Linked DNA regions of Saccharomyces cerevisiae S288C. The gene in region 4 interacts genetically with the main gene of each other region. Each region holds a gene or a part of one and is shown on either strand. Other genes may lie near its edges. The genes, in order: SCS7, TRM1, LOS1 and RTT10.

Region 1 (7,179 bases), on a different chromosome or scaffold from region 4:
TGAATTCCTGAATATTTGGAGTTTCAGGAATTTTATATTTGCACCAATAACTGAGGAAATATTTTACACGTCAATGCTTTTGACTACGTACTTAAACCTAATACCGCATTCGCAACTAAGCTATCAACAGTTATTTTGGCAACCATCGCTTTTTTTTGGACTTGCGCACGCACACCATGCTTATGAGCAATTACAGGAAGGCTCCATGACAACTGTTTCCATTCTGCTGACAACATGCTTCCAAATTTTATACACAACACTTTTTGGAGGGTTAACCAAGTTTGTATTCGTAAGAACAGGCGGGAACCTATGGTGCTGCATAATCCTGCATGCCCTTTGCAATATCATGGGGTTTCCTGGTCCTTCAAGATTGAATTTACATTTCACAGTAGTAGACAAGAAAGCTGGACGCATTTCCAAATTGGTCTCAATCTGGAATAAGTGCTACTTCGCACTGCTGGTCCTTGGATTAATATCCCTGAAGGATACCTTACAAACTCTGGTAGGAACTCCTGGTTATAGAATAACCCTTTAGCCTTTTTTACGTACTTGTATACCGTTTAAAATTTCCTATGTACTATAACCTTTTTTCACTACTATTATGGAATTCTATCGAGCGACCGGGCTTTTGTTACGGAAGAGTGAAAAAATCGAGTTTTGGTGTTTTGGTGAAAGAATTTGGAGGACTATAAAGTACCTATACTTTGTATTACGGACTCAATAACAAGTCGTTCGTGTCAGTGGTATTGAAGTTGTCAGATCTAAGAGTAGAGAGAAGGTGGCATCTAATAGGTTTCGACGTTTTTCTTTTTTTAAGGTTTTTATTTGGTCTCCTAGAATTTAAGGTCTTAGTTAGTTTTGGTTTGTTTTGTGGGTTACATATTTTCAATTCAAAGGAGAATTTAGCTGTCTTTTATAATGTCCAATAGAGATAACGAGAGCATGCTGCGTACTACATCAAGCGATAAGGCGATCGCTAGTCAAAGGGATAAACGGAAGTCTGAAGTTTTGATTGCTGCACAGTCCCTTGACAATGAAATCCGCAGCGTAAAAAACCTAAAAAGATTGTCGATTGGGTCAATGGATTTACTTATTGATCCAGAATTAGATATAAAATTCGGTGGGGAATCTAGTGGGAGACGATCATGGTCTGGCACGACATCCAGTTCTGCGTCAATGCCAAGTGACACAACCACCGTTAATAACACACGATATAGCGATCCAACTCCGCTAGAGAACTTGCATGGGAGGGGTAACTCAGGGATAGAATCCTCCAATAAGACTAAACAAGGTAACTACTTAGGTATAAAAAAAGGTGTTCACTCTCCATCCAGGAAATTAAATGCTAACGTATTAAAGAAAAACTTATTATGGGTTCCCGCCAATCAACACCCTAACGTTAAGCCTGATAATTTCCTAGAGCTTGTACAAGATACTTTACAAAATATACAACTAAGCGACAATGGTGAAGATAATGATGGGAATAGCAATGAAAATAACGATATTGAGGATAATGGGGAGGATAAAGAATCACAATCATATGAAAATAAGGAGAACAACACTATCAACTTGAACAGGGGGCTGTCAAGGCATGGAAACGCGTCACTAATACGAAGGCCTTCAACATTGCGGAGGTCATATACAGAGTTTGATGATAACGAAGATGACGATAATAAGGGAGACAGTGCCTCTGAAACAGTAAATAAAGTCGAAGAAAGAATCTCCAAAATAAAAGAGAGACCAGTGTCGTTAAGAGATATAACTGAAGAACTGACAAAGATCTCAAATAGTGCAGGACTAACCGACAATGATGCCATTACATTAGCCAGAACTCTTAGTATGGCTGGTTCATATTCAGATAAAAAAGATCAACCACAACCGGAAGGGCATTATGATGAAGGAGATATTGGTTTTTCAACTTCACAAGCGAATACTTTGGATGATGGTGAATTTGCCTCCAATATGCCCATCAATAATACCATGACATGGCCTGAACGATCGTCACTGAGAAGGAGTAGATTCAACACTTATCGAATCAGGTCACAAGAGCAAGAAAAAGAAGTAGAACAAAGTGTGGATGAAATGAAAAACGACGACGAAGAACGTCTAAAATTGACCAAGAATACAATAAAGGTCGAAATAGATCCGCACAAATCCCCTTTTAGACAGCAAGATGAGGATTCTGAGAATATGAGTTCGCCTGGGTCAATTGGTGATTTTCAAGACATTTATAATCATTACAGACAGTCTAGTGGCGAGTGGGAACAAGAAATGGGAATAGAGAAAGAAGCCGAAGAGGTACCCGTCAAGGTTCGAAATGACACAGTAGAACAAGACTTAGAGTTAAGAGAGGGAACAACAGACATGGTAAAGCCAAGCGCAACGGATGACAACAAAGAAACGAAGCGACATCGTCGAAGAAACGGATGGACATGGTTGAACAATAAAATGAGCAGAGAAGACGATAACGAAGAAAACCAAGGGGACGATGAAAATGAAGAAAACGTGGATTCACAAAGAATGGAGCTCGACAATTCCAAAAAACATTATATTTCTCTATTTAATGGCGGTGAGAAGACGGAGGTGTCAAATAAAGAAGAAATGAACAATTCAAGTACTTCCACCGCCACATCACAGACAAGACAGAAAATCGAGAAAACTTTTGCGAACCTATTCAGAAGAAAGCCACACCACAAGCATGATGCATCATCATCACCCTCGTCGTCACCATCATCGTCACCATCAATACCAAATAACGATGCCGTGCACGTTCGCGTGAGGAAAAGCAAAAAGCTTGGTAACAAAAGTGGAAGGGAGCCGGTTGAACCCATTGTGTTGCGCAATCGCCCTCGTCCTCACCGTCACCATCACAGCCGTCATGGTTCCCAAAAAATAAGCGTAAAAACCCTTAAAGATTCTCAGCCGCAGCAGCAGATACCATTACAACCACAATTGGAAGGCGCAATAGAGATAGAAAAGAAAGAGGAAAGCGATTCCGAGAGCTTGCCCCAACTACAGCCGGCCGTTAGTGTAAGTAGTACCAAAAGTAACTCTAGAGACAGAGAAGAAGAGGAGGCAAAGAAAAAGAACAAGAAGAGGAGCAATACGACAGAAATTTCCAACCAACAACACTCCAAACACGTCCAAAAGGAGAATACCGATGAGCAAAAAGCTCAACTACAAGCTCCAGCTCAAGAACAAGTCCAAACTTCAGTCCCAGTTCAAGCTTCAGCCCCAGTCCAAAATTCAGCCCCAGTCCAAACTTCAGCCCCAGTTGAAGCTTCAGCTCAAACTCAGGCTCCAGCGGCACCACCATTGAAACATACCTCCATATTGCCCCCAAGAAAGCTTACATTTGCAGACGTCAAAAAACCTGACAAACCAAACTCCCCGGTTCAATTCACAGACAGTGCCTTTGGGTTCCCACTGCCTTTGCTGACAGTGTCTACGGTTATCATGTTCGACCACCGTCTACCAATTAACGTCGAAAGGGCCATATACCGGCTGAGTCACTTGAAATTGAGCAATTCGAAGAGGGGACTGCGCGAGCAGGTATTACTAAGTAACTTCATGTATGCTTATCTGAACTTGGTTAATCACACTCTGTACATGGAGCAGGTAGCCCACGACAAAGAACAACAACAACAACAACAACAACAACCCTGAAAAGGCTTCAGCGCTGCATACATAGACATATACACATCACACGTACATACACGAAAAGATAGCTTTCATGCTCACAAAGCTACGTTCCCCACAGAATATTTCCCAGGACAACAGGGAAAGTTGGACAAACACCAAACTTCTCATAATACAATAGCCGAAAACAGTCTTGCTTTTGATAAAGAGAGCTTTCTGCGGCCGGAAGAAAATGTGCCTATTCCGCGGGGCCGTTCCGCGCAGAAACTACCGCACGACGTCGGAAATATAACGGGGTTTTGCGCGGATTTACTGACGTGTGACATCTTTTCGCAGTTAATTTTTTTTTCAATTTGGAACCGTATAAGAACAGAGGTATTAGATAGTAGAAGCTATTGTGTCTATTGTCTTTGATTAGTTTTTTTTTCTATTGTTATCGTGGCAGGCACTAAAAGCGGTGGTAAGCTAAAACTAGTACGAAGATGTCGACTAATACTTCCAAGACTTTGGAACTGTTTTCAAAAAAGACGGTACAAGAACACAATACTGCCAATGACTGCTGGGTCACTTATCAAAACAGAAAGATTTATGACGTGACCAGGTTTTTGAGCGAACACCCTGGTGGTGACGAGTCCATCTTGGACTATGCTGGTAAGGACATTACTGAGATCATGAAAGACTCAGATGTGCATGAACACAGCGACTCCGCGTATGAAATCCTTGAGGACGAATATTTGATTGGTTACTTGGCAACTGACGAAGAGGCAGCGAGATTGTTGACTAACAAGAACCATAAGGTTGAAGTGCAGTTGTCAGCTGACGGTACTGAGTTTGACTCCACTACTTTTGTAAAGGAGTTGCCCGCCGAGGAGAAACTAAGTATTGCTACGGACTACAGTAACGACTACAAAAAGCATAAATTTTTGGATCTGAACCGTCCTTTGCTGATGCAGATTCTGCGTAGTGATTTCAAGAAAGATTTTTACGTTGACCAAATCCATAGACCAAGACATTACGGTAAGGGGTCTGCCCCGCTATTTGGTAATTTCTTGGAACCATTAACTAAAACAGCTTGGTGGGTTGTTCCAGTTGCTTGGTTGCCTGTAGTTGTGTACCACATGGGTGTTGCTTTGAAGAACATGAACCAGCTATTTGCATGTTTCTTGTTCTGTGTCGGTGTCTTTGTTTGGACTTTGATTGAATACGGTCTTCACCGTTTCCTATTTCATTTCGATGATTGGTTACCTGAAAGTAACATCGCATTCGCCACACATTTTCTACTACATGGTTGCCATCATTACTTGCCCATGGACAAGTACCGTTTAGTTATGCCACCTACTCTGTTCGTCATCCTTTGTGCTCCATTTTACAAGTTGGTATTTGCTCTGCTGCCACTTTATTGGGCTTACGCTGGTTTTGCTGGCGGTCTTTTCGGTTATGTCTGTTATGACGAATGTCATTTCTTCTTGCACCACTCTAAATTGCCTCCCTTCATGCGTAAGTTGAAAAAATATCACCTGGAACATCATTATAAAAACTACCAACTGGGATTTGGCGTCACATCCTGGTTTTGGGACGAAGTTTTTGGCACCTACTTAGGCCCCGATGCCCCATTGTCCAAAATGAAATATGAATAATTATTGGTCAGCCTCGTCCAAAATTGTCAACCTAGGAAAAACAACATTACGAGCAATGAAATCTTGAGCAAAGTTCTTTTCTGCGACATATTTATTTCAAATCTTTATTTATATTATTATATGTAACTACGTATATATACATACACATGGAATGGAATCATAGATGAAATCGATGAACAAGCACGTTATTTCTTAAACGAATATCCAATCGATGACGACTATACGAAAAAGCGGCCTCAAAAAAGAACCGAATTGACAGGTACATTTTTCTTTCACAGATCAGGTTGGCAAAAAAATACTAACCGTATCCTGTGTTACTGTCGTTAGAACAGGAATCAAGATGAGCACAGTGAAGTTATCTGATAGTCCCTAGACTCTCATTGACTTTTTGTAATATTAGGACACAGAATATACTAAGGGTTCTTCTCGAGAATAAATGAACACATAAGCAAATCAGAAATTCTACATACTATAAGAGTACCTCATACCTAATCATTTCTTAATCCATTCCGTTATCAGTAATTGCATTCGAGGTTCCATTAAACTGGTGCCGACATTTATATAGTTATATTGGTCCAATGATCTTATCATCCTCCACACCGTATACAACTATATCTTAGTAAACAACGGCTAGTAAGTGAAACGATGGTCCATTTTAGGCACGAAGAATAAAGTAAAATCTGTATCTGCGTTGCGCAAATCATCAATTGCATTTATGTTGGAACGAGAGTAATTAATAGTGACATGAGTTGCTATGGTAACAATCTAATGCTTACATCGTATATTAATGTACACCTCGTATACGTTTAAGTGTGATTGCACCTATTGCAGAAGGAATGTTAAACGAGAAGCTCAGACAATACTGAAGCTGTGTTAAAGACCTATTAGTTGAACATGTTATGGTAGGTACATATATGAGGAATATGAGTCGTCACATAAATGTATAGTAACTACCGGAATCACTATTATATTGGTCATGATTAATATGACCAATCGGCGTGTGTTTTATATACCTCTCTTATTTAGTATAAGAAGATCAGTAATTATTTCTTCATTAATACTATTTTTTACCTCTAATTATCAACAATTTACATAGCCCAAAGTCATGAGGAGAGCTTCTACTATAAACCTCACTCACAATTCTTTCTTTAGTCAGACGTAGAAACCTAAGATTTGTTAGTATATACGGTTTTCCGTACCAGTACAAGATCCATTGCTTGCGATATTGTTAAAATAGGGACCATCTTTCTTAAAAAGGTTCCATAAAACCGGAAGTTTTAGTGTACACTAACAACAGAAGAAAAAGGTCCTATAGTGTAGTGGTTATCACTTTCGGTTCTGATCCGAACAACCCCAGTTCGAATCCGGGTGGGACCTTCCCTTCATTTTTCGTATTTTACGAAATTTAAACCATCATTTTTTTTTTTTGAACCAATGCGAGAAAAAAATAAAAAGAGAAAGGTAAGAAAAAGAAACCAACCTCTATACAGATACAATCGCTCATCTCGATATACTTATTTTTACATACCAGAGATATCGAAGAAGTTACTCAATTATTTGACAAGTGCTCATCATTATGTCATTTGAAGTTTTGCGTGTGACAGACAAGTCCTAATAGGATATCCTTTAGATAAACCATTGGGGCCCCTTATATGAGGTTTATACACACACATATATATGTATACATATGGCTAAATTGCCTTCTGAGAGCCTGATAGTTTTTTTAGCACTTTATTCTTTCACTTGTATTTTTTTAGACATTTCACGTATTCGGCTAATGGTATGGCACTTTCTCACGTGCCTTTCAGACTATGTAATATAAACTGTTCTAACCTGCTCTACACCTGACTCACATGACAGCATTTCCTTTCAGAATCACATAACATTTTTTGGTTTTAATTAT
Region 2 (7,765 bases), on a different chromosome or scaffold from region 4:
CTAAATATATTCCCAAACTTCGCCTTTTCTGAGGGATCGCCAGTAGTTGAAGGTACCCTAAATTGTTGATAGTCATTTCCCTGAGGAGTTGGAGAGAGAGCATATTCCATTTCACGGCGTTGATTATCAGAACTTTTTCTACTCGTTGGTGACGTATGCGCTTGTTCTGGCATTGCTAACCTCGGTGGAATTAAGACATGTAAGGGGGGCTCTGTGCCATCGCTATTCTTTGGAGTGAATGGCACAGAGGTATCTTTTGTCGCCAACGTGGCTTCTGGCTCTGATTTCATAGCGGTTGTATTGACCTCTACGTCCCTTTGCTTCACACTTTCCGGTATTTCAGAAAGCTTTTCTATATTTTCGTGGCTCTGTCGCTGTTGTTGATTCCGAATTTTCGCATGTTTCCTATCAAGCATCTCAGAAGTCAAGTAATATATGGAAATCATTGGATGATATGCCCGAGTTGGGTCTTCAAAACTCTCTGTTATGTTTGGCGCGTTTCCGTTATCACTGGATTCTGCGTTCATTTTGGCCGCTAAAGTCCAGTATTGTCTAGAGAGAAGAACGTAAGTAGGATCTGTGATTATACTGACCAAAACACTTCTTGTTTCCTCTACATCGTCAATAAATTCTAAACGGTACATTTCTTTTAAGACATTTATATCAAGCATTTCGATAGTTAGGGGAACTCTTTTCGGTAAGTAAGAAGGAGGGGGACCATTGAACCCTCTTACCATCCAGTGGTGCTCCACAACCTGTTTAAGTGTGGCTCTTCTTTTCGGATCTACTACCAACATTTTGGATAACAGTGATATTACTTCGATAGATAAATGTTGGGGATATTCAACCTTACCTTGCTTGATCTTTTCATGTAAAACGCTCGAATTTTCGTCGTCAAATGGCACTTTACCGCATACCAAAACAAATAAAACTACACCAAATGACCAGACATCTACTTCAGGTCCTGTATAAGGATTCGCTTTTAACAGCTCGGGAGCGGCAAAATACAGAGAGCCACAGAATGTATGAAGCTGCTTCCTAGAATCATAAATATTTGAAAGTCCAAAATCAATTATCTTGATTTCACTGGAATCTGAAATCATTATATTTTCTATCTTCAAATCTCTATGGACGATGTTGTTAGCATGCAAATATATTAAGGCGCTCGCGATACCCCTAGCAAACTTTCTCGCTTGGTGTTCTCGTATTGACCCATGTTGGATGATATAGTCTAACAGCTGACCACCTGAAACATATTCAAACAACATATAGAAATGATTTGACAACGTGCACATCTCAAAAAGTCTACATATGTGTGGATGATATAAGATTTGTCCCAAGGACGCTTCTCGAATAGTTCTTTTGTCCCTAGATATTTCCTTCTCTAATTTCTTCTGTCTCTCCAAAACATCTTGTTCATTTTTGGGTGGTGGCAGCATTTGTTCTTTATGTAGGAAAGCCTTTGTAGCACGGTTTACAATTTTTACTGCACAAACCTCATTAGTGTAACGATGTTTTGCCAGCTTCACTTTACCCATAGAACCTGCACCAACTGTTTCAACAAACTCCCAATCTCCTAACGATTTTCGATGAAACTGCTTAGGCATGCCCTGAGAAGACGAAACTCGACTCTGGCTGGTAGTATTTGGCTTTGGTGCATTCTCTCTCGATTTACCTTCAAGTTCTACTTGTCTCTCCTTTTGCTCTGCTTGATGTGAGTTACCATTATTGGCGTATTTGATATCCGCCGGGGGCATTAGCGGTGTGTTCTGCTGCTGCTGCTGCTGTGGACTTTTTCCCATCATTCTCAGCGTAGCGGGCGCCATAGTGCTTGGTTGTGTATGCATGCTGTTGCTTTCACTATTGCCATCATCCTGCTGGTTACCTCTGCCCATTGAGAAGGCAGTATTTACGTGATAATCATCCATATTCTACGTGAGCAAAAAGTAATCGTAATAAACTGTACCTGTTTAAAAGAAGTTGAAAAAAAAAATGCGTAATAGCCCAAAATCCCTAGTATATTCAGTTGCTCTAATCGGAGCAAAGATGTTTGAATTTTACTAATCAATAGTTGGAAAATGAAAGACCGATAGGGTAGGGGGGCGAAGGGTGACAACTAATTATGTTAACTAGCCTAGGTTACCGTATGTCCTTATAATAACGAAGTAAATCTCAAAAAATTTCAAATCACAAAGTGGCTCTAACTAAACCTGCTTGATATCGTATCTCGCTAATACACTTCCTCAACGCCATAATTTCTTGTTAACGTTCCACCAATATCAACTTCTTGTCCCCTTTCTTTCCTTCCGCATTGGCGCCGCGTTGGGTTCCCCGGCTTGCAAATAACGACGATGAGTATAGCTTATTATGTATGTAGGTAATAAAGGCAAGTTACATACTACGATCCTGTGGGAGTGGTGGCAAGCACTACTAGACAGTTTCCATAGCGGGGTTACGTTTGCTCAAGGTTTTGAACTCTAGTTTCTACATCTTGGCTCTCCGTTTTCTGTTTCTTTTCGGAGGACTCTTCTACGTCCTGTAATGCATCGCCTTGTTCTTCTATTTCGTCATGCTCTTTAACCTTTTCCACGGGCACATTCTCCTTATCTTCACCCATATCTATATCGCCATCAGCATCTACTTCACCACTATCTAGTTTTTCCTTCTTCCTCTGTTCAACAGCAGCTTGGTATTCATCTAGTTTATCTCTAACCGGACCCTTCAATGCCGAGTGTCCTATATGGTCCAAAGCACTCAGAACATCATCTACACTGCAGCTTTTTTTATCTTGACTCTTTGCAATTTCCCTTGCAAACAGGAGCAAGTGGTTAACAAATACTGTAGCACCACGCTGTAACGCTAGTGATGCGTCTTTATTTATCAGCAGCTTTTTGCCGCTTTGCTGTGGCACTTCGCGTGCCAAATTCACAATAGTGCTTTTAGGAAATAACAGGTCCTGAATCGTAATGTTCTCTTGTTCTTTAATATACGAAGTAGTGGGGTAATTCCCTTGGGCGTCTTTTCTCCAACCTTTTGGTGGCATCGTGTGTAAAAATATATGGTCTGATATAAATAAGCAATGAAAGGCTTGACTTCTATTTCAAAGTATTAAATAATTAAAAAAATCCTTCCTTTCACCTAAAACCTCTAGGTAATATTCTGTGGCTTCTGCTATTGTGCCGCTATGAATAACAATTTTAAGCTCTGATGATCGAATCTGGTTTTTAACGTTATTCCAATTTGAGCCTTTCTTTATTCGTCCAAAGGGATAAAGCATTATTTTTTTTTCATCGCATTCAATGCTCATCGCAAAGTTACAGATCCTGAGCAGTCATAAGTTGATACCTTTCCTCTTACAATGTAGATATGGAAGGTTTCTTCAGGATACCCCTCAAGCGGGCAAATTTACACGGAATGTTGAAGGCTGCTATATCCAAAATTAAAGCGAATTTTACCGCGTATGGTGCACCAAGAATCAATATTGAGGATTTCAATATAGTCAAGGAAGGAAAAGCAGAAATTCTTTTCCCTAAAAAGGAAACTGTTTTCTATAATCCCATCCAACAATTTAATAGAGATCTAAGTGTTACATGCATCAAGGCGTGGGACAACCTATATGGTGAGGAATGTGGCCAAAAGAGAAATAATAAAAAAAGTAAGAAGAAAAGGTGCGCGGAAACTAACGATGATTCTTCCAAGCGTCAAAAAATGGGAAACGGGTCACCAAAAGAAGCCGTTGGTAATTCTAATCGAAACGAACCTTATATAAATATTTTGGAAGCATTGTCAGCCACTGGGTTAAGAGCCATTAGGTATGCTCATGAAATTCCCCATGTGAGGGAAGTTATTGCTAACGATTTACTTCCAGAGGCTGTCGAATCTATAAAACGAAACGTTGAATATAATAGTGTCGAAAACATTGTCAAGCCAAACCTTGATGATGCTAATGTCTTAATGTACCGTAACAAAGCGACGAATAATAAGTTTCACGTCATCGACTTGGATCCTTACGGTACCGTTACACCTTTTGTAGATGCGGCTATTCAGAGTATTGAGGAGGGTGGTCTAATGCTGGTAACTTGCACTGATTTATCCGTTTTGGCCGGTAACGGATACCCAGAAAAGTGTTTTGCCTTATATGGTGGTGCAAATATGGTTTCTCATGAATCAACTCACGAAAGTGCGCTGAGACTAGTATTGAACTTACTAAAGCAAACTGCCGCGAAATACAAGAAAACTGTGGAACCGCTTTTGTCGTTGAGCATTGACTTTTACGTCAGAGTTTTTGTCAAAGTCAAAACAAGCCCGATTGAAGTCAAAAACGTTATGTCAAGTACTATGACTACTTACCATTGTTCCCGTTGCGGCTCTTACCACAATCAACCTCTGGGCAGAATTTCTCAACGCGAAGGTAGGAACAACAAAACATTCACCAAATACTCGGTTGCGCAAGGGCCTCCGGTTGATACTAAATGTAAGTTCTGCGAGGGGACATACCATTTAGCTGGTCCAATGTATGCAGGACCTCTACACAACAAGGAGTTCATCGAGGAGGTGTTGAGAATTAATAAAGAAGAGCATCGTGACCAGGATGATACATATGGAACACGTAAAAGAATTGAAGGTATGCTATCTCTAGCTAAGAATGAATTATCCGATTCGCCATTCTATTTCAGTCCTAACCATATTGCATCGGTAATAAAATTACAAGTACCTCCCTTGAAAAAAGTAGTCGCAGGCCTAGGTTCCCTAGGCTTTGAATGTTCATTGACACATGCCCAACCATCGTCCCTAAAGACTAACGCTCCATGGGATGCAATCTGGTATGTGATGCAGAAATGTGATGATGAGAAGAAAGACTTAAGCAAAATGAATCCAAATACTACGGGCTATAAGATTTTATCGGCAATGCCAGGATGGTTGAGTGGCACTGTCAAATCAGAGTATGACTCAAAGCTGTCGTTCGCACCAAATGAACAAAGCGGTAATATTGAAAAACTAAGGAAGCTAAAAATTGTGAGATATCAGGAAAATCCAACAAAGAATTGGGGCCCAAAAGCCCGTCCCAACACTTCATAAGAATTTTGATTAGTGTTAGAGCTAAAACGTAAGAAACTAAGGATCCGCCCGAGAACGGTATAATGGACGGAAAAGAATGCTTCTCTTTTGTAATATAGATGTTTAAAGTAATCAGGAGGGCAGTATGTATGTGTAAAAAATAAATAAATATATATATATATTTGAGGAACCAGATCTCAAATGAAAAATATAAGCCAGTATATTTTTTGCATTGTAGCCACTGTTGTAACCTCTGGGCATATAAATAATAATGTATAGCGCCTAGTATCAAACTAAACTCGCCATGTTGGTAGTGTTACACTCATTTTTAGCAAATTTTTTTTTCTTATCAAACTCATGCTTTTCTTGCCTTACTAAAGAAGTATACAGCACCAGGCCAACCTAAACAAACGCTCAATACTGCACTCCATTGAAAGATTTCTGGAATGAGCCTTCTACCTTCCGTAATTACCCACGATTCACCTATTCTACCGCCTGTATACCTCTTGATTGGGGCAGCACGAGCGGAAGATCTCAAAACTTGGCTGAAGAACATTTTACCTATTTAGAATTAAAAGAGTCTGTAAATATCTGTGATATGGTCAAGTGTCTAAAAAGTACAGACAAGGAAACGAAATAAAAAAAGAATTGTTTCGTCATGCAAGAGGAAAGTATGAAAGAAAAATGACTGGCTTATATATTAAGTGTCATTTAGTCGGAGAAAACACTATCATAAACAAAACCATGTTTTCTTTGGTTGCCTACTGATAGAGGGGTTTCCGCTTGCTGCATTTTCAGCAAGTAAAAATCAAGCTATTCTGGCCATTCATTTCTTGCACGGATACCATATCCCCTTGTTCACTCTTCTATTCTTCCCCCGCCCCATACGATCATTTTTCAGATCCCGCCTTTGTGCGGTCACCACAATGATTGAAGTTCCCTGCATCTTTATCTAAGCGACAAAAGTATTATCGGGTTTAAGAAAAAAGAAAAAAAGTATTTGTATTATTTAAAGTATACATTTTCATCTACCGGTTCAAGATAGTGACAAACAATTTTGACTACGACAATGGATTCTGTTGAAAATGAATATTGCTACGACAGTAATCGTAAAAAAAAGGGTAGAGAGTTTGAATACGTTTCGACATGCTTGTAAATAACACTCAATCAAAGTTTGAAAAACAAACTTTGGGGCTGATTCGTGTACCCAATCTGAAGATTCCGTAGCGTGCTTGATAATTTTCAAAAGGTCCTTTTTAAGATAACCTTGCTTGCTAAATGGCATCACCTTCTCATGCATAAGTTTTATTAATGTTTTGTGGAAGACATAACCACCCAAGGAAATACCAACCGTCCCCCCCACGGCACCGAAACAATATACGATAGAACCACTGATAGGTGACTTTCTTTGTTCATGGTACTCATGATAAAGATTTGACAGCAAGGTCAATATCATAGAGGAGCCCAAAAATGGCAGAGACAAACATATATATTGCTTCCATACTGGTAAATTCAAACTTACCCCCATAAGTGCCACATATAGTAACAGGGTGGCTCCGCTTAAAACAAATTTTAGCAAAAAATTCTGTCCTTTCGACTTCCAAAAATAAGAAACACTAAAGTAACCCAGTACAATGGAGAAAAAGAATGGGGACAATCTCTCTGCAAGTTGTAAAGTGCTTAAATTTAAAACAATGATGAAGTACGTTGTACCGAATGGGATGATGCACATTAATGCTGCAAAGCAAAATGAAATTCCTATCATTGTCCATATTAAACGCTTGTCACCTTGTAAGGACATTGAAATTACAGAGTTCATGTAAGTATCGCTTGTCTCTATCAAGAAAAATAAAATGCCACAAACGATAATTACAGAAAATAGTAGCGCTTGAATCATCGTATTATTCTTTAACCCTGTTAAATCCAATGAGGTCACTTGAACGAAACAAAGTAGGAATAGCGTAAGTGTCAATATTTCGTATAAATCAGGACTTAATAGAGTATTCTTGAATCTTTTCCATAATGTAGGCGTTGGGCGTCCATATAAAGTGCTCTTAACAGAATACATATCTGCCAGCATAATCGAGGCATTCACAAGGCAAAAAGGAACTGGTATTAAGAAGGCATTTCTCCACCCGCTACCATGAGAAGAATCAAACAAGTTCATCATAAAGGGCCCAATTACCACACCCATAGCAAATGTTATCATAGAGGCACTCAATGAGTACCGACTGTCGTTCTTTTGAGAAAACCGATTCATAATAGTACTTTTGAGCGCTATTAAGGAACCGCCCCCAAATCCTGTGACACAACGGGCAAAGATAAACGTCCAAAAATGGGCAGAACTCCAAGATAAATAGCCACCAAGGATAAAACTGAATTGAGCAATACACAACAACAATTTTACACTGGATATTAAAGATAGCTTCAAAAATACCAGTTGCCCAATAGCATTACTCAATAGGTATGCTGAGATGACTAAGGATAATCTCCATAACTCATGAAACTCCGAAGCAATTTTGGACGCAATTACTAGGATTATAGAACTGTCCATTGCAATAAAGAATAAATAAGTACACATACAGGATGAAAATATCCGTCTTCTCGTCAGATCATGTACAAGTTCATCAGATGATGTATTTTCGACATAAGGAGGATTCAATCCGTTCTCTACATCCCCGATGCTCTGGGGTATAGAGCCATATCC
Region 3 (9,294 bases), on a different chromosome or scaffold from region 4:
GGTTAGAAGTGTTGCCACAGTTAATTTCTAGAATTCATCAACCCAATCAAATTGTTAGTAGGTCATTACTCTCCCTATTATCTGATCTAGGTAAGGCTCATCCGCAGGCATTAGTGTACCCCTTAATGGTTGCGATTAAATCCGAATCTCTCTCACGACAGAAAGCAGCTTTGTCCATCATAGAAAAGATGAGAATACATAGTCCAGTTTTGGTCGACCAGGCTGAACTTGTCAGCCACGAATTGATACGTATGGCGGTGCTTTGGCATGAGCAATGGTATGAGGGTCTGGATGACGCCAGTAGGCAGTTTTTTGGAGAACATAATACCGAAAAAATGTTTGCTGCTTTAGAGCCTCTGTACGAAATGCTGAAGAGAGGACCGGAAACTTTGAGGGAAATATCGTTCCAAAATTCTTTTGGTAGGGACTTGAATGACGCTTACGAATGGCTGATGAATTACAAAAAATCTAAAGATGTTAGTAATTTAAACCAAGCGTGGGACATTTACTATAATGTTTTCAGGAAAATTGGTAAACAGTTGCCACAATTACAAACTCTTGAACTACAACATGTGTCGCCAAAACTACTATCTGCGCATGATTTGGAATTGGCTGTCCCCGGGACCCGTGCAAGTGGTGGAAAACCAATTGTTAAAATATCTAAATTCGAGCCAGTATTTTCAGTAATCTCATCCAAACAAAGACCGAGAAAGTTTTGTATCAAGGGTAGTGATGGTAAAGATTATAAGTATGTGTTGAAAGGACATGAAGACATTAGACAGGATAGCTTGGTCATGCAATTATTCGGACTAGTTAACACGCTTTTGCAAAATGACGCTGAGTGCTTTAGAAGGCATCTAGATATCCAGCAATATCCAGCAATCCCATTATCTCCGAAGTCTGGGTTACTGGGTTGGGTACCGAATAGTGACACGTTCCATGTATTAATTAGGGAGCATAGAGAAGCCAAAAAAATTCCTTTAAACATTGAGCATTGGGTCATGTTACAAATGGCACCTGATTATGACAATTTAACGTTGTTGCAGAAAGTAGAAGTCTTCACTTACGCCCTAAATAATACGGAGGGACAAGATCTTTATAAGGTGTTATGGCTGAAGAGTAGGTCATCGGAAACGTGGTTGGAGCGTAGAACTACTTACACTCGATCGCTAGCCGTGATGTCCATGACCGGTTATATATTGGGGTTAGGTGACCGCCACCCTAGTAATTTGATGTTGGATAGAATCACTGGGAAAGTCATTCATATTGATTTTGGTGATTGTTTCGAGGCTGCTATATTAAGAGAAAAATTCCCCGAAAAAGTACCTTTTAGATTAACTAGAATGTTAACATATGCAATGGAAGTGAGTGGAATTGAAGGTAGCTTCCGTATTACTTGTGAGAATGTTATGAAGGTACTTAGAGATAACAAGGGTTCATTAATGGCAATCCTTGAAGCTTTTGCTTTCGATCCTTTGATCAATTGGGGTTTTGACTTACCAACAAAGAAAATTGAGGAAGAAACGGGCATTCAACTTCCCGTGATGAATGCCAATGAGCTATTGAGTAATGGGGCTATTACCGAAGAAGAAGTTCAAAGGGTGGAAAACGAGCACAAGAATGCCATTCGAAATGCAAGGGCCATGTTGGTATTGAAGCGCATTACTGACAAATTAACGGGGAACGATATAAGAAGGTTTAATGACTTGGACGTTCCAGAACAAGTGGATAAACTAATCCAACAAGCCACATCAGTGGAAAACCTATGCCAACATTATATCGGTTGGTGTCCATTCTGGTAGTTTTAATGTATTGAAAATCACTTAGTTGTATATAGCCTGTAAAAGTGTTGTATAAAAATGCATCTCATTCATTAATGTTTAGTTCCGAGCGTGACGTTACTAACTGCGAAAAAAGTTCCTTCGACTAGTAAATATCAAAGGCGAAAACATAAGTATATGGGAGAATTATAACAAGTTAAGTGATGATGATAGGATAAGATAATATAGGATACATGTTATATACAAACTCTAGATAATAAAGATGAAAAATGAAAAGGAAAAGAACATGCTTTTAGATAGTATGTTCACTGTGTTTTTGTCGTTTCCTGTCAAGTACTCGCTCGTTACGCATCTCATTTTATATTCTTTTTAGAGTTTAATCCTGGTGGTAACTGGTTTGTAACATTTTTGCCATTGGCATTAATAATAGATGGAATTGGCATAGGGGAGTTACTACCAAAACCTTGCTGGAAATTAGGGGGGAAATTTCCTTGTAGCATCATATTTGGATAAGGTGGCTGTGGCTGTTGTCCTGTTACCGGTAACATACCATTTGGTGGGATTGGGAACCCCTGTGGTAATGGTGGCATTGGGCCGTTAGGAAAGTTAGGATGCATTGGAAAAAACCCTGGAGGTGGGGGTGGTGGCATGTATTGCTGTTGAGGCAGATCTGGCGTTGCTGTTTCCTCTTGTTTTCCCTTGCTATTTCTTGTTCCGTTTGGATTTTTATTTTGCCTTAATTGCCTGTCTTCCTTCTTATTTACATCTTTAGAATCTTTCTGGAATTGAACGAGACCTGGTGGCGGTGGCATCATGCGTTGTGGAAAATTTGGTGGTACACCCATCACAGGAAATTGTGGACCCTGATGAGCAATTAGTCCTGGGGGTGGAGGAGGAGGAGTACTAGTTTCACTTTTACCTTTATTCAATAGCCCATTGAAAAATGCGTTGTTATTAGGAGGATGCTGGGTAAATGCCATTGGTTGCATTTGTTGCGGTTGCTGCTGGAATTGCGGAAGAGTCTGCATCTTTCCATTATCTTTGTCTGAGGCTGATAACAACTGCGATTCTGCATTTGGAGTGCTCGATCTAGATTCTTTGAAAAACGACATCAGTCTTGAACCACTTTGATGAGGTGTACTGTTGCCATCGTTGTTTACTACAGACACGTTTGACGATGGCACTTGATTATTATTATCTAATGAAGGCAACGAAGTGGCAGATTTATTGAAAAATGATGAAAACCGAGATGATGAACTTTTACCCAAATCTGAATTAGTTTCTAATTCGTTAACTTGTTCTATACTGGTTTTGGATAGGCTTGGCTGTCCAACAGGAATACCAGGTGTTTGTTGTGAAGATTCTTCCTTCTTATCTTGCCTCTTTAAATTCAAAAAATCTGTTATTGAACTAGGGCCCCTTGGAATGACCGGTCTTAAATCGGTGGGTGTTTCATGAGAGGCGCTTTCCCTGGGAGCAATTGCGGTAGAGTTACTGATTCCTTTAGATTTTGAAAGTTTTTTCAATTCTAATTCTTTCATCTTTGCCTTCCAATCTTCAAAATCTGCAATTGAATGGCCGACGTCACCTCCTAATTGAAGATTCTTGTCCATCTCCAGCATTTCTTGGTCAATCTTTTTTTCTTCATCATCTTGTTGAGATCTTCGTTTGCCTCCCTGCATGTTTTTGGTTCTACTCATTCTTCTCTCATCGTTTTTCCCATTCTTGTAACCAGCCTTCCAACTGCCTCCACCATTGTTCCCATTAAAATGATGGTTATTAGCATGCTTTTGATCTGGAGGTCCCATGCGCAATCGCCAAAACTTTCTTTTGGGTAAACTCCTCACAAGTTCCGAAATAAGTGGGTCTTCTTCGTACGAAGCACTTGCCAAAGATGGTTTCAAATGATAAAGTTCATTCATGGAGTATGCATATGTCTTGTATTGCAGATCCATTGGTTTGTAGTTCGTTATAGGGTCCGTCAAACTGCTGAAATTTAGCATGGCCGTTTTCTTATTTTTTTTTTTATTGCTTTCTTTATTGTTACCGCTCGTAGCAACAGAAATGTTAGAGCTATCAGTTGAAGATTCTACGCTACCGATTGGCTTCTCTTCTCTGCCCTTTTTGGCTAATTTTTGGAATAAATTTGAGATGGCTTGTTGCGATTTGTGAGTAGCGGCTGCAGTATCGCTGTCAGACAATTCACCTGAAAACTGGCTGCTTGATATAATTGAAGGGTCGTTGAGTTCCATTGTATGGGTTAAAGTCCTACTATGCTAGTTCTTTGTGTAGCTTAGAGACTGAAACATTCATATACTCTAATATCTCACCTGATCCTTTTTGAACCTTCCAACGATTTCTTTGAAATTAAAAAAACTAAACGTTTGTCATTCTTTACGTAATACATAGAAGTAATGGTATGTCACGTATAAATAATAGATAAAGAAGCACTTTTAGTGCCATTACATGACTAGCTGCTAAACCAAAGTGAATGATAAGTCTAATTACATATTACCAATTTAAATATTAGTATAAATATAATTACAACTTTTACTCTCGTTTTGCATTTTTTTTTTATTTTCAGGTTTTCTGCGCCTGAAAGCTATTGACCTTGCTTTAAAACAGAAATGAAATTATCTACAAACCATTTTTCGAATTGCTTTTGACCCATTGTGGTTAACATATTAACCAACTGAATCGTCAATTCCTGTGGTAATTGGATTTGTGGAAGGTAGATCTGAGTTAAATATTTTACACATTCATTCTCATTTGTGGTGGGGTTGCTGCTGACGATAAATAGCTCCCTCAGTAATCTTGCCAAATCATATGCCATTGTTTTGAAATTCCCTTCTTTGATATTGAACTTGTATATTGGATTGAACGGAATTTCAAAGATTATTGGGACACATTTCATGATGAAGTATTCGTTGAGACCATCTATTTTAAGGTTGGGATCTTTATTGATGTCGTCATTATCCAAGCAGGTCCCATTCCCAAAACATTTGATAAAATTGCACAATACATTGAGTGACACTTTCATCATTGATGTTTCCTGGATCTCTTGCGGCGTATAGGTGACCAAATCGTTTAATATGACCGGCAGGATTGCTCTGTTTATATCTGACAATAGTATCGAAGTGACGGAATTATTAGTAAATGACTGTAAAAATGTGCAGTAAGCCTTTTTCAATAGTATTTTATCTCTATACGAATCGGTGACCACGATATTCTTATTTACGGAGGTGGCTGTGACTGCAGTGTCTATAGGTTTGTTACTGCTTGATTGTTGGTCGTGTTGTTCATCAATCTCTTCGATAATAGAATGGACTTTGTTGATAAGCGGAGTAAGTAACTGGTTAAACAGCTGATAACAGTCTGTGTCCGTGTGAAACATATGAATCAGTTGAGATAAGAACCCAAGAAAATCAATCATCTCCCATGATTTTAAATCTGTGGACGATAAGATCAATTCAATCAATTTATTGATAAATGGTAAAATTTTATTACTTAAAATTGGAATTAACCTGGCAAAGGTAAACCTAGATGCATCGCGGATATTTTCGAACTTATTGAAAAAAGAGAATGTTACTAATATAACCTCAGCTATATTAGAGAATTTATGGATTAAAGAGTCATTGATTAATTTTTTGTTGACAACCATATTGTTGACCTGATTCTCAGGGACGAGACCAATGTGCAAACCTCTCGCTAAAGTACCAATAGCCATAAGAATGTGATGACATTCCAGAATCACAACTGGCGAAGCTCCTTGGGTAATACAACCCTCTAATTGTGTAAATAGCGGAGTTAATATCTGGTCCAATATATCGTAATCGATGGGGGTGTTGGCAGTGGCAGCAGTGAGCTCCTGACTGCTATTATTCAATGTGATTATAAACCCAATACCCTCAAATATGTACAACTGATTATCAAAAATTGTATCATTGTCATCCGTCCCTTGGGCGTTGATAGATGTTACTTTTATGTGAAGTAGAGGACTTATCTTATTAGTTATTTCATTAACCAAATTTTTGTTGGCAAAGAGGATTTTTTTCAAATTGATTCTTGTCAACTTCAAGAATCTTGTAAATAAATACCATGACCTTAGTCTGACGTTTTCTCTTTTATTGAACATAGCAAATGAGCTCATGAAAATATTCAATATTAATAGATACTTTTCATCATCATCAGTAGCATTTGCTGTGTTAGCACTAGTTGAAAATATGAAATTGTAGTTTTTCACAATTAATTCCATGAATAGTATTTGGATTTGTTCGTTATCAATGGCTAATAAGAAATCCTTCATCATTAACAATTCATTTAAAAATCGTACTAAAGTTAGCGAAGGTTGTGAGGTCATAATTTCATTCTTGTTCAAACCGAAATAGTTGTTCTTGGTACATTCACTTAAATTGAAGATTTGATAAATAGTTAGCTCGAAAATTTGCCAGCTTTCGTTTTTACAATTCATTAGGTTTGCTGAAATTTCTTGAGAAATGTTATTTAAAAACAGACTTGGGTCAATTACCACGATGATCTCCTGGAAATTTTTTAATTTAAATCTTACGGTTTCGTTGAATTCCTCAAAATCATCCTGTGTGACCTCGTCGTCTGAAAACTTCATTCTTTTAAAGCAAATTTGTTGGAAATTATCTAGAAAATCCTTATGCAATGGTACAAAATTTGGTGAAGATGCTTTATATTTTTTCAAGAAAGCCAGATAATTTGACCAGAATGGGAAGGTTTTTGCTGTTATTGAATCAAACTCATTATTCATAAATTCCAAAAGTATTGGTATTATTTTCTCCAATAATATGGAATCAACATTTGAAATGACCGATTGTTTGTATAATGTATCCAATTTTTGATCATCGTTGACTTGTTCAATAATGATAGTAAATTCTATGCCAAAGGAAGTAATCAACTTGGTCAAACTTTCCCAGACTTCTAAATTATCAAATGTAATAATTTGGGGATTCATTGATATGGCTTGATGATAGTAAGTCAATTCGTTGGTCAAATTGATCATATTCAGAAAAGCCAGTTTGTCCATTGGTTTCATTTTTTTAGAGATGATGGCCAGTATGCAATTATAACATGAAATTTTGGTTTCTTTAAGATTTAAAAATTTATAGATTAATTGCAGATAATAATTATTTGCATCAATAATTAAATTAATATCGATCCATGAGATAAAACTCCCAATACAATCCAAGGTAGAATTGATCAATCCGGGACATTGTGACACAATTTGTTCGTCCAGTTTTAAACACTGAAACCACACATTACTCAATTTCATGATATCGTTATCACGCATCCAATCTTTTATATTGTTATTTTTTAACTGAGATTCCTTAGACCTAATAAAGCTTTGGTCAGCAATCTCCGAATTAATCATCAAACAGAGCTTGTTAAAAAATTCAAGACCTAGAAGAATGTTACCATCGGTAGACGGGCTCGTATTGGAAATAGCCGAATCCACTTGGAATAGACTCATCAGATCGTCAAAAAAACTGTTCCACTGGTTTCCATTACAATCACTGTACATTAACATAAACAAAGTAGTCAGCACTTCAGAAATCTTATTCATTAAAAAGTCAGGCAGCTTAGTTTGCTTATTGCCCAAAACTTGAAATTTGAGCCATTTGGTTATTTCAAACTTTACCAGATTCAAACCATTTGGATTAGCGTTCACGCCCTCCGTCATCAATTCTATCAATGTGGACAGTCCGTAAAACTTCAACAAATCATTTGAATTCTCGTTGATGACCAATGATATAAAGATTTCCAATGCATTCTCTGATGATTTAATCCCATTTAGCAGCTCGATGGCTTGTCTCTTAGTGGCCACATCTGAGCGTGGATCGTTCACTGCATTTACCAGCTGCTGAATCCGTTCTAGCATTCCTCGATTTGACTGGAAACACTTGTTCTATAGGTTGCTTACCGACAACTTCTCAAACTAACTGATGGAATTTGAAAAAATTTTAGTTTTTTTTTGTTAGCTAATTTTTCAATTTTTCGCTTTGAGCCTGAAAATGATCCCACAATGAGTAACCTGCTAAAAAAAAAGCCACCTACACTAAAATAAGGAAATTAAATTAAAACTTCAGGAAAGAATAGCACAAAACCCAAAGGAACATACGATGAGCTGCCTGGTGTTGCCATTAGTAAGCGTAGGGAATATACCACAATTGAGTATTGACTGGCTGCTGAATTCACAAGCAAATGAATGGGAATATTTGGAGGCGTTAGATTCGAAATACCTAGTGGAATTTGTGGGACCATTAGACAGACCAGAGGATGGTAGCGACTCGCTATATAAAGACGCTGATATGAAGTATAGCAGCGCTTTGGAAGTTTTCTACAATAAGAAGCGAGGACTTTTTGCCATACAGCAACGAACACCACTCGTGTCCGTTAACTATCTGAATAATTTCATCGTAGAGATCATCTTGCCGTTCTTGAGCAAGTATAATATATCGGAAATATGCATTTGGGACTCTCTATATGCAATGGAGGATGAAAATGGTGTGATTGTACGTCCACAGGAGGTATATTCGCTCGGAGAGTTTTATTTCGACGATGAAGCTGAGCTTTTATCGAACCTCCATCTAAACGATCAAGAGTCGATGGTCAATAACTGGTTACATTTTACTCCTACCAGTTTCCAAGACAAGATATCCGTTGATCAGCCGATCTTCAAAATACTTTTCCAAATACTGAATGCGTCGCAGAGGCCTAAAGCCCTCCGCAGCATTAAGTACTGTAGTTGTTTGGCCAATGAGGGGGACAACTCATTAGATTCTCAACAGTTCTTACAATGGATAATCTCTCAAAAAGTTATCAAAAACGCGCCACCAATTGTAAAGTTTGTCAGGCCTATATCATGGCAAGGTGCATACGGAATGGCGGATGCAAGAGATAAATTTGTAGATTTATACAATTGAAACCGAGAAGTATATCTGTTTTCTATACAAGTGCATATATAGCCACGAACTTACATATACTGTTTCAAAACCCTTTGCTCAACGTTATCAAGACAAGTCTCATGCTGAATGATAGTCAAATCGTTAGCCATCGCATGCATTGCTTTGTCAACCTGTGATTGTGGAGGGCCTTGGGGGCCCTGAGGGCCACCTATCCCGGCCTGAATACCCATGTCCTGATCGTTTAACCCAATCAGGTTGTAGACTGGATTTAGCCCGAGCACAGAAATAAAATACCATGAAATGGAGCTAACCCATCTCACATCCAGGTCCTGACAGATAATACCGGTCTGTAACATCTCTTTGAATTTGGCAGTCAAAGGGAAAGGTAGTTGCATAAGAATAAATCCAGCAAAAAAATGGTTCACCCACCACATAATAATAGTTTGAGGGATGAAACTGGCCATATTACCCTTAGCCATGTTCATCATAGCATTAGACATACTTGGATCGTTGAAGGGATTAGGAACCTCTCCAGCTTGCGAACCATCCTGCTGCTTGGCCTTGGCTAGGTGCCTTTCCTC
Region 4 (8,991 bases):
TTATTGTTATTGTTATTGTTATTGTTATTATTATTGTTATAAGAAACCACCATGTTTTAATGCAATTGAAGTAGTATGTGATGGTGAAGAAAAAAAAAAATACAACGATAGTTCTTTGTTTTTCTTTAGGAAATATCTGAATAGAAAAGGCTTCAACGACCAGAATTGAAAAAATAAAATAGTATTAGCAAAGAAAAATATGATATTTTTTTTCAAAAAAAAAAAGAGTGTCCTTGAGAATTGAAGTTGGAAACGGATATTAATTAGACAAAAAAAATGATGAAGAAAGATAAAGTGAAAAATATGAGGCTGGAATGGACAGTTGAACCAATTAAGGAGCCTAATTGGTAAAGCAGAACAGGTGAGTCAGAAGACTTAAAAAGGGGCAAATATCAAATAACGGAAGAACGAAGAAAATAGAAGAATACAATGTTCAAAAGAAATGAAGCGTATGTGTATCTAAAGGAAAGGTACAGAGACTATCAGTTCTAGAAATTGTAAATTGGTAAAATAAACAGAGAAAGGAAGCTTAAGGAGAGAATTCAGTGGGGAATGTGACTCTGTGAAAATAATGTATAAGAGTGGGCAACGGTGTTCTCGTAGATATAGCGCTGTGCTGAACCAAGTTTAGTTTTTTTTACTTTCCACCAAAGGCAAAGAAACTGATTAATTTATTGCTGTGACGAAGGGATGGAGTATGATTGCGGTTGTGACTGAATCTCTTTGTAGACTTTCGGACAACCACAAGATCCACTTTCTGGTAAAGTTAATTTCAAGATCGTGTTTTTTTCTGTCTTTTCTTTCTCTTCTCATAGCCAAAATCGTACCACAAGGAAAAAAAGCACCGGGTTACCATGATGGTGGAATCCCACTGTAAGAACATAAGAATGATAAGTACGCAACTGCCACGGCAGTTGGAAGAAAGACATAGTCTGCCCTCATTCGGCGTGTATTATTGGACGTCAAGTTACCTTTTCCAAGTGTTTCCCTTTTTTGTCTTTTGAATTTGTCAATAGGGAGTGAAAGGTCCATAGTTCAAGGGCATTCCAAAAGTGAGGATAAAAAAAGCGTAGTCATAAACACTTCAACGGTGTTGCCGAGAATGACGACGGTCCGGTAGAAGGTGGTGCTTTTATCTATGTATTAGTTATTTACTATCTGCGTAACGAAACTATGATTTTTTTTTTCTCTCACCCAAGCCGAAATTAAAAATTCTGTCTTCGCACTTATTCCAAATAGAAAGGGAATGAATCGTGGAACTATTGGCATTGGGATATAGCCTCGATCTACTCGCATATAACGGCTACGGTTCATAGTACAAATCTCAGAATTTTTCAGCAAGCGAAAGGATTTCAAAGAATGTTTTTACAGACTCTCCGCCTAACTATGCCAAGGATGTTTTTGCACATGAAACCGTCCCCCATAACGATAACAAGGGCCTGCACAGTGCCCAGCCTCCTATCTGTTGCAGCTCCGCAACCAGCTCTTGTTGCAGCTAACAGACCTTTGGTTTTTAACAGAGGTTTCAAGGTCAGAACATCTGTCAAAAAGTTCTGCAGTGATTGCTACTTGGTAAGAAGAAAGGGAAGAGTATACATTTATTGCAAGTCGAATAAAAAACACAAACAGCGTCAAGGCTGAAAGATGTAAATCTCTTCGCTGTTCTCCGTTCGGGTGTTTACAAAATATTCTCATTTTCTAAAATCTGTAAATAATACATATCTATAATATTCTTTTATGTATATGTTAATTTTTTGTATCATTTTTTCCAAATTGATAAACCAACACCTCCGATCAGTAACGTTTTCTCAGAATCAGCATCTTCATCATTGGAAATGATTTCTAATGATCCTGTATCCGCCACAGTGGTACGCTTTTTATCTACCAGTGAAAGCTTGCCTGCGGTAATTTCCCAAGCGCGTATTACTTGATCAACCGATGTGGTAATGACTTCTTTGCCACCATTAATCAACATACCGGACGTTATTGTCGAAGAAGCTGCTGCAGCGATAAAGTCACTTGTTTTTAACGTTACTTTATTCGAGTCATCTAATTTCAGGTTGCTTAACCCTAAACCATTATCATCACCCCCTGTCAAAATTGTGGCGGAAGTTCTTGTAGCATTAGCAACATAGTCTAGGGACTTGACACCAGATTGATGTACCGGCAACTGCGCTACAGGTGCGGGAAGATTTGAGATAGTAGCGTCCAGTTTGTGGTCAACCAAATCGCCAGAAATCGGATCAACGGAAAATGGTACGTACTCGGTTATATTATAAACCACTAAATGTCCATCAGTTGGTGAAATGACAACAAGGAGCTCTTCTTTCAGTGCAATAAATACGACGTTGAATAAACAGCACGTCTTATAACGACCTTGCATGATCAGGTCAAACTTATTCTGATTTTCCCTATAGTGCCAAATCTTTATTGTTGAATCTGAATAAACAGTAACTAATAAGAAGTCACCTGACTGTGATATAAATTTGACATCAAAATCCATGATCCTTAGATCAGAATTATTTGTGGATACAGGTAAAGCTTGTCGTATGGTCATATATGGTCGTTTATTATACTTATCGTTCAATTCCCATAAGAATAACTCCTCTCTAGCTGAAGATGATATCATTAGTTTGTGATTTATAAACTGACAACGTTGTAATCCAGACACATGCTTTCTTTGTGTCCAAAAATTCTGCACCTTCCCTGTTCTATTGTTAAAATATCCCAGCTTAATTGTAGTATCTTCAGATGCAGTACAGAATATATGCCCATCCTTAAAATTGTCATTCGTGTTGGTATTTGAAACAGGACAGATTGAAATATCTCTGATTTCCCTTCCGTGTACACCATTTTCTAAAGTTTCAGGCACAATGGAGTTGTAAATTTTCCTTAAATGAAATCGGGATGCCTTAATATACATTAATACGTGGCCATCAGTAATTTTTGCGAGATTCCACAGACGATGGGAACCACCACAAACTTCACTAGCTAGTTCATAACAGTTGGTTTCATTGTAGAGATAAAACAAGCTGGACTTGAACCCATAAGTAATGTATTCACCTTTTGAATTAAAGAAAGCGCCCTCCAAGAAACCTTTCATCATCTTATTAGAATGCAAGACCTTATAACTTAGTCGGTAGGGACCCTCTTCCAAACTGTTTTTCGTCAACTCAATAAATACATAATAGCCATCCCTATTTGTTACTGAGAAGACCGCAGAGTTGTCTTTATCTTCTACAAATTCGATTGAGGTTGTAGTGTCTCCGGGACTTAATCTCCTAATTATGAAGGGCTCCTCGCTCTCATCAAGTAAGTTGTAGATTACTAATGTACTAAAACGTGAGCCGACTAAAATATGATTTCGGAAGGAGGTCAAACATGAGGAAGAAAAATTTTCCGGCTTATTGAAACAGTGCTTGCTTTTAATTTTTAAGTTCTGAAGGCTTATTTCCAAACATACAAACTTCTCTCGAGGATTTGGGGATTGTAAAGTCAATAGGAAGGAGTCATCATCGTATTCTGTAACGAGACAGTTATTTGTCTTAGAAAGCTCATCTAAATGGAATTCTTCGGTCTCAATTATGTCAGCGCTATCTTTGCTAAATTTGATAAGAAGGATGTCACTTTTATTATTGGAAAAGACAGCGATATTTTGCGTTTGAATCCCATTTGTAATTGGATACGAGTTGAATTTTTCATTTGTTAGTAACAACTTCCATTGTTTCGTGACATCACTGTATTTAAGTATTTTACCCAATGAAGTGATAGCAATTACACCGAATGAAAACCATTGAAATCCCTTGATACTTTCATTCTTTTCGAAAATATCGCCACATTGCTTTGCGATATCATCTAGACTGAACGATGTTTCTTCATCGCCGTGTCTCTTCAGTTGAAGAAGATCAATCAGCTTTAACCTACCATCATTCCCGGAGGTTACAGCTATCATTTCGTCGTCTTTCACATCAACGCCCCATATACTCTTGATTAAATGTACTTCGTAAACGTTAGATATGGATAATTCGGCAACGTTTTCTCGTGATTCGATAATGTTCCATACACGGCATGTGCAATCTTCAGAAACACTTATTAGTTTTGAATCATTATCAAAAAACATTAAATTCCATATTCTTGCCGTATGGCTCCAGCCAACAGACAGCTGCTTGCCAGTTTCTAAATCCCACAGTCTAATTGATCTGTCGTCAGAGCAACTGGCAACATATCTTCCGTTGTTGCTTAAATTAACATAAAAGATAGAACCTTCATGACCCAGTAAGTTATGAATTTTTGTCTCCGAGAACAGGTCCCAAATGATAACACCGCCCATTACAGTACCAGCGTTAACATATACTTTATCCGGACCGAAAACTTTAATTATACCGGAATATAGAATAGATCTTTCTCCCCCAAGAGACTTCCTAAAAAGAACTTCACAATTTAAATCACAAATTAGCACTTTATTATAACATGTTAACAAATATATTTGCAAGTTGTCAAAGCTGAATGTAGCACCGGTAATCCAATCTGAGTTAATCCTTTCGAAATCCACCAATGACTCTTTCTTTAAAACGTCTTCAAGTTCCACTATTGTTACTGATCTTGCACCATAGGCCAAAATTTTCCCTTCACTAGAAAGGCTAAGTCCATGAACTTTATTGTAGTGAAATAGCCTACATTTGTTAATCAACGTAGCCGAATGATAGTCATAGACATGGATGAAAGGCCCATAACCAGCTAGAACATAATCATTGTAAAATTTAACACATAGCGCAGGACCATAATGAGACAAGTCCTTCATTTTAATCACTTATTCTTCTTCAATGAGCAACTTCAATTGGCGGGAATGAGAAGCTAAATAACGATGAGGTCCGCTAGCAGAAGTTTTTTCATGCTCATATTTTTCCACTTTTTTTTTCTTACATTTTTTTTTTCAGCAGCGTCGTTTTTTGTGAGACGCCGATGTGTATGCTAGGCTTAAATCTATCATTCAGACCCCAGTGTAAAACATAAGCGGTGAAAAGTACGTAGGGTAGTATACAACTCACCAAAGCACGACTACGTGAAAATGACCCTGAGAGTATCATCAATGTTATCGGCTGTATAAATAATACACCAGAACAAATTCCTCTTAAAGATGTAGGCAAGACCAGACTCAGTTTCTCTGAGCAGTACCTTCAATTTTCAATTTTTGATAGATGTTCGTCACTAATATTTTTTTATTGAGTTAAGTTCACCCACTTCTGGCACTTCTTATAACCTTGATAATTAAAAAGACCTCGGCGGTTATTTTTTATTTTGAGCAGTTATAAAGGGCATTACCCTCATCATCTTGCGGAAATAGGACGGAGCACGTCGCAGACAGGCTTTAACGTAATCAATTAGTTTTGAAAAATTTCTCCGCTATGGGTAAACTAGGTAAACCGCACAGCACAATCAGCTGCATTTTCTATTTTCAATTTTCTATTGGTGGCTTTTCACTGCATGATCAAAAAATAACGTTTTGTTGATTAGTTTTTTCTTTTTTGTTCTTGTTGGTTTTCGTATATGAATTTTATGTAACTGGGTATTTACAGGGGTACAAAGTTCACAACAGAGACCATCAATAGTTTGTTTCCTTCGAAGTTTACTTTGCGTAACCTTACTAAAAGATAGCATAAACATATAGGAGTATAGAGAAGAGTAATGGAATCGACAGCAATAGTGCCTAAAGGCCCTGTTGTGGGTAGTGAAGATATGGAGAAAGCGGAAGTCATTGCTAGTGGGTCCACAGACATTATATCAACAACATCAACAGCGACAACAACGGCGGCGATTGGAAGTGTACAGGAAGAAAGTGTAAAACAAGAAGATGTTCCTATGGAAGGTGGAGAGGGGGAAGTCGAGGAAGAGGAAGGCGAAACTCGCTGTATCTGTGGAGAGCTCGATACTCCAGATGACTCCGGATTTTTCATTCAATGTGAGCAGTGCAGTTCCTGGCAGCACGGTTATTGTGTGAGTATTACTCAAGACAACGCACCTGATAAATATTGGTGCGAGCAATGCAGACCGGAGTTACATCAGCTCTTTACCACAGATACTGGCGAAGCAAGGTCAATCTATAAACCTGTGCAAGAGAAAAGGAGGCAATCAAGAAGGAAGGCACGAAGTGCAGCTGCAAGTAAATCTCATGCCGCCAATGAAGCAGAGAAAAGTCCCAGAAATACCAGCAATACCGATGATAACGTCGACGATATCGGCGACGAAGAAGATGAAGTAGAAGATGAAGCTTCGGCTGTAGCATTAGCCAAGGACGGCAACACGAGGTCAAGTAGAAGGAGGAGGAGGAATTCAATGGATGATGCTTCTACCGATCAGTATTCACTGGATCCTGGAGATAGTGATAAGAAGCTACTGGATAGAAAAAGGGCAACTTTCATGGCAAGAGAAGAAAAGCAATATCAAAGAATGCTTGAAAAAGCCTTGAAAGAAAGCAGGAGGACATCACATCAAGAAGATCCTGAAAGTTATGAAAATGATGCTGATATATACCAAGGTGATACCGACAATCACAACGGCACCACTCGATTACAAACGGATGTTATGCTAACGGAAGGCAAACCGGACTCGGTAACAAATGATGATATGAAAGAAAGCCTACGACCATCGAAAGAGCAATCAATGGAAAAAACAAATGATGTGGAAAAAGAAGCTAGTCAAGAAAAGGAATCTTCTACGGGTTCGGCGCAAGACACTGAGAAAACTGATGAACCCATCCTACCCCTAACCTCAATATCTTCTTCTGAGGATGATTCAAGGAAAGCTAGTTCGAGGGGTTCTAAAAGAGTTTCCAAACCAGCAAGAAAGGGCAACAGAACTCGTCGAAGCAATACAAGTTCAGACACCAACCAAAATAGAAGGAGTGCTGATATAGGTACCGACAAACCAGTAAAGCCCAGATTACCCCCTCAAAGGACCTCATTAAACGAAATGAGAAGAAGGGTATCCGCTATTTTGGAGTTCATTTCTAGAACTCAATGGGAATTGAGTGAAGATCAGTCTGATCGAGAGGAATTTGTACGATTCGTGGAAAACCAGCATTTCGTAGAAAAAGTTGATACGATTTACAACGGTTATAATGAAAGTCTATCAATGATGGACGACCTGACTAGAGAGTTACTACTATGGGAGAAAAAATATTCAAATAACACTAATGCCATTCAATAAACGCAAAACACTGCAATATTATTCTCAACCAAAGTATAACTGTAATGAGGCGAACAAACACATCTATACATATATATACATCTATATGGATATAAAAACGACTAATTCAACGTTGTTTTTATCAACCGAGCTTACTCTTGTACGGGTAACCGCAAGGATAGCTAGTTGCGGATGGTATAGCGATTTGGCTGGCACGATGATTAAGGAATCCAAACATCTAATGGACTAGCACATTCTATCGATTTACGGGTCAGGTAAACATAGATATTGGGATATATCATATATCCTTACTGAGTAACTATAATTATGGTTCATCGAGGAAGGACTTTGAAGTCAGACACTGATGTAACATCTCTTAATGCGTCAACAGTATCACACCAGTCAAAGCCATTTAGACAGTTTTCGACTAGGTCGAGAGCAAAGAGTAACGCAAGCTTCAAAGGTTTGCGTAGAGTTTTAACACATGATGGCACCCTGGATAATGATTATTTTAATAAGCACAACGTTTCTCAGAAATGCAAGAGTTCTGATGCACTTTTCAGAAAGCGAACGATTAGTGGGTTGAATATGACAGCTTTAACAAGAGTAAAGTCCAATCAAGGAAAAAGATCAGCATCCTTTCATAGTCCGGTGCATAATACGCTGCTCAGTCCAAAGAACAGCAGTCATTCTAATACTGGAACTGCTGGTTTCGGCCTGAAACCACGAAGAAGTAAAAGTACCCAATCTGTTCTGAGTCTTCGAGATGCGCAAGAATCTAAAAAGAGTGAATCTACTACTGACGAGGAGGTGGAATGTTTTTCGGAAGACAACATTGAAGATGGAAAGGTGAATAATGATAAAGTAATAGCCGAGCATGTTATGCCTGAAGAAAAAAAGAATGTGCAGCAATTAAATCAGAATGAATTACAATCCCCGGATTCAATAGATGAACAAGAAGAAGATAAATCAGGTACTGATGGAAAGGAAAATCATAGAGCTGTATCCTTACCATTACCTCATTTATCTTCCAATAACTATTTCGGAGAATCAAGCCATTCTATAGAACATCAGAAAGATGGAGAAACATCTCCAAGCTCAATTGAAACAAAACTGAATGCAACAAGTGTAATCAATGAAGAGGGGCAATCAAAGGTGACGAAGGAAGCTGATATTGATGACTTGTCCAGCCATTCTCAAAATTTGAGGGCCTCATTGGTTAAAGCGGGCGATAATATATCAGAAGCACCATATGATAAAGAAAAAAAAATTCTTGATGTTGGTAATACCTTAGCTGCACATAAAAGTAATCAAAAACCAAGTCATTCAGATGAACAGTTTGATCAGGAAGATCACATTGATGCCCCTAGGAGTAATTCATCAAGAAAAAGCGACTCGAGCTTTATGTCTCTTAGGAGACAAAGTTCTAAACAACACAAATTATTAAACGAAGAAGAAGATCTAATCAAGCCTGATGATATTTCTTCCGCTGGTACCAAGGATATTGAAGGGCATAGCTTACTGGAAAATTATGCGCCTAATATGATTCTCTCCCAGTCGACTGGAGTTGAACGTAGATTTGAAAATTCATCATCCATCCAAAATTCGCTTGGGAATGAAATTCATGACTCGGGTGAGCATATGGCTTCAGGTGATACTTTTAATGAACTGGATGATGGCAAATTGCGCAAGAGCAAGAAAAATGGTGGAAGATCTCAACTTGGCCAAAATATACCGAACTCTCAGTCTACTTTCCCCACCATTGCTAACATCGGTAGTAAAGATAATAATGTACCACAGCACAAC

Evidence for each region.
Region 1: mutations in RTT10 (region 4) and SCS7 together harm fitness more than expected from each alone (negative genetic interaction), as found in Saccharomyces cerevisiae (2 studies listed by BioGRID).
Region 2: mutations in RTT10 (region 4) and TRM1 together harm fitness more than expected from each alone (negative genetic interaction), as found in Saccharomyces cerevisiae (5 studies listed by BioGRID, with this or other methods).
Region 3: mutations in RTT10 (region 4) and LOS1 together harm fitness more than expected from each alone (negative genetic interaction), as found in Saccharomyces cerevisiae (2 studies listed by BioGRID).

What each region holds. Positions count from the first base shown.
Region 1 is NC_001145.3:807,720-814,898, reverse strand, and holds SCS7 (fatty acid alpha-hydroxylase), read left to right. Parts: upstream 1-4,121; coding exon 4,122-5,276; downstream 5,277-7,179. Other genes in the region: RCE1 (CAAX prenyl protease), read left to right, coding at 1-535; ZDS1 (Zds1p), read left to right, coding at 919-3,666; YMR272W-B (uncharacterized protein), read right to left, coding at 3,703-3,810. UniProt on the Saccharomyces cerevisiae protein: Ceramide hydroxylase involved in the hydroxylation of sphingolipid-associated very long chain fatty acids. Postulated to hydroxylate the very long chain fatty acid of dihydroceramides and phytoceramides at C-2.
Region 2 is NC_001136.10:688,863-696,627, reverse strand, and holds TRM1 (tRNA (guanine26-N2)-dimethyltransferase), read left to right. Parts: upstream 1-3,366; coding exon 3,367-5,079; downstream 5,080-7,765. Other genes in the region: serine/threonine protein kinase KIN1, read right to left, coding at 1-1,928; DPB4 (DNA polymerase epsilon noncatalytic subunit), read right to left, coding at 2,453-3,043; COX26 (Cox26p), read right to left, coding at 5,414-5,614; VBA4 (Vba4p), read right to left, coding at 6,095-7,765. UniProt on the Saccharomyces cerevisiae protein: Dimethylates a single guanine residue at position 26 of most tRNAs using S-adenosyl-L-methionine as donor of the methyl groups. Required for the modification of both mitochondrial and cytoplasmic tRNAs.
Region 3 is NC_001143.9:48,443-57,736, reverse strand, and holds LOS1 (Ran GTPase-binding protein LOS1), read right to left. Parts: upstream 7,687-9,294; coding exon 4,384-7,686; downstream 1-4,383. Other genes in the region: phosphatidylinositol kinase-related protein kinase TOR2, read left to right, coding at 1-1,802; EAP1 (Eap1p), read right to left, coding at 2,135-4,033; ADD66 (Add66p), read left to right, coding at 7,928-8,731; ER membrane complex subunit EMC3, read right to left, coding at 8,782-9,294. UniProt on the Saccharomyces cerevisiae protein: tRNA nucleus export receptor which facilitates tRNA translocation across the nuclear pore complex. Preferentially interacts with tRNAs with mature 5'- and 3'-termini and does not distinguish between intron-containing and spliced tRNAs.
Region 4 is NC_001148.4:197,736-206,726, forward strand, and holds RTT10 (tRNA (34-2'-O)-methyltransferase regulator RTT10), read right to left. Parts: upstream 4,802-8,991; coding exon 1,760-4,801; downstream 1-1,759. Other genes in the region: MRN1 (Mrn1p), read right to left, coding at 1-53; mitochondrial 54S ribosomal protein bL36m RTC6, read left to right, coding at 1,360-1,641; CTI6 (Cti6p), read left to right, coding at 5,686-7,206; TCO89 (Tco89p), read left to right, coding at 7,513-8,991.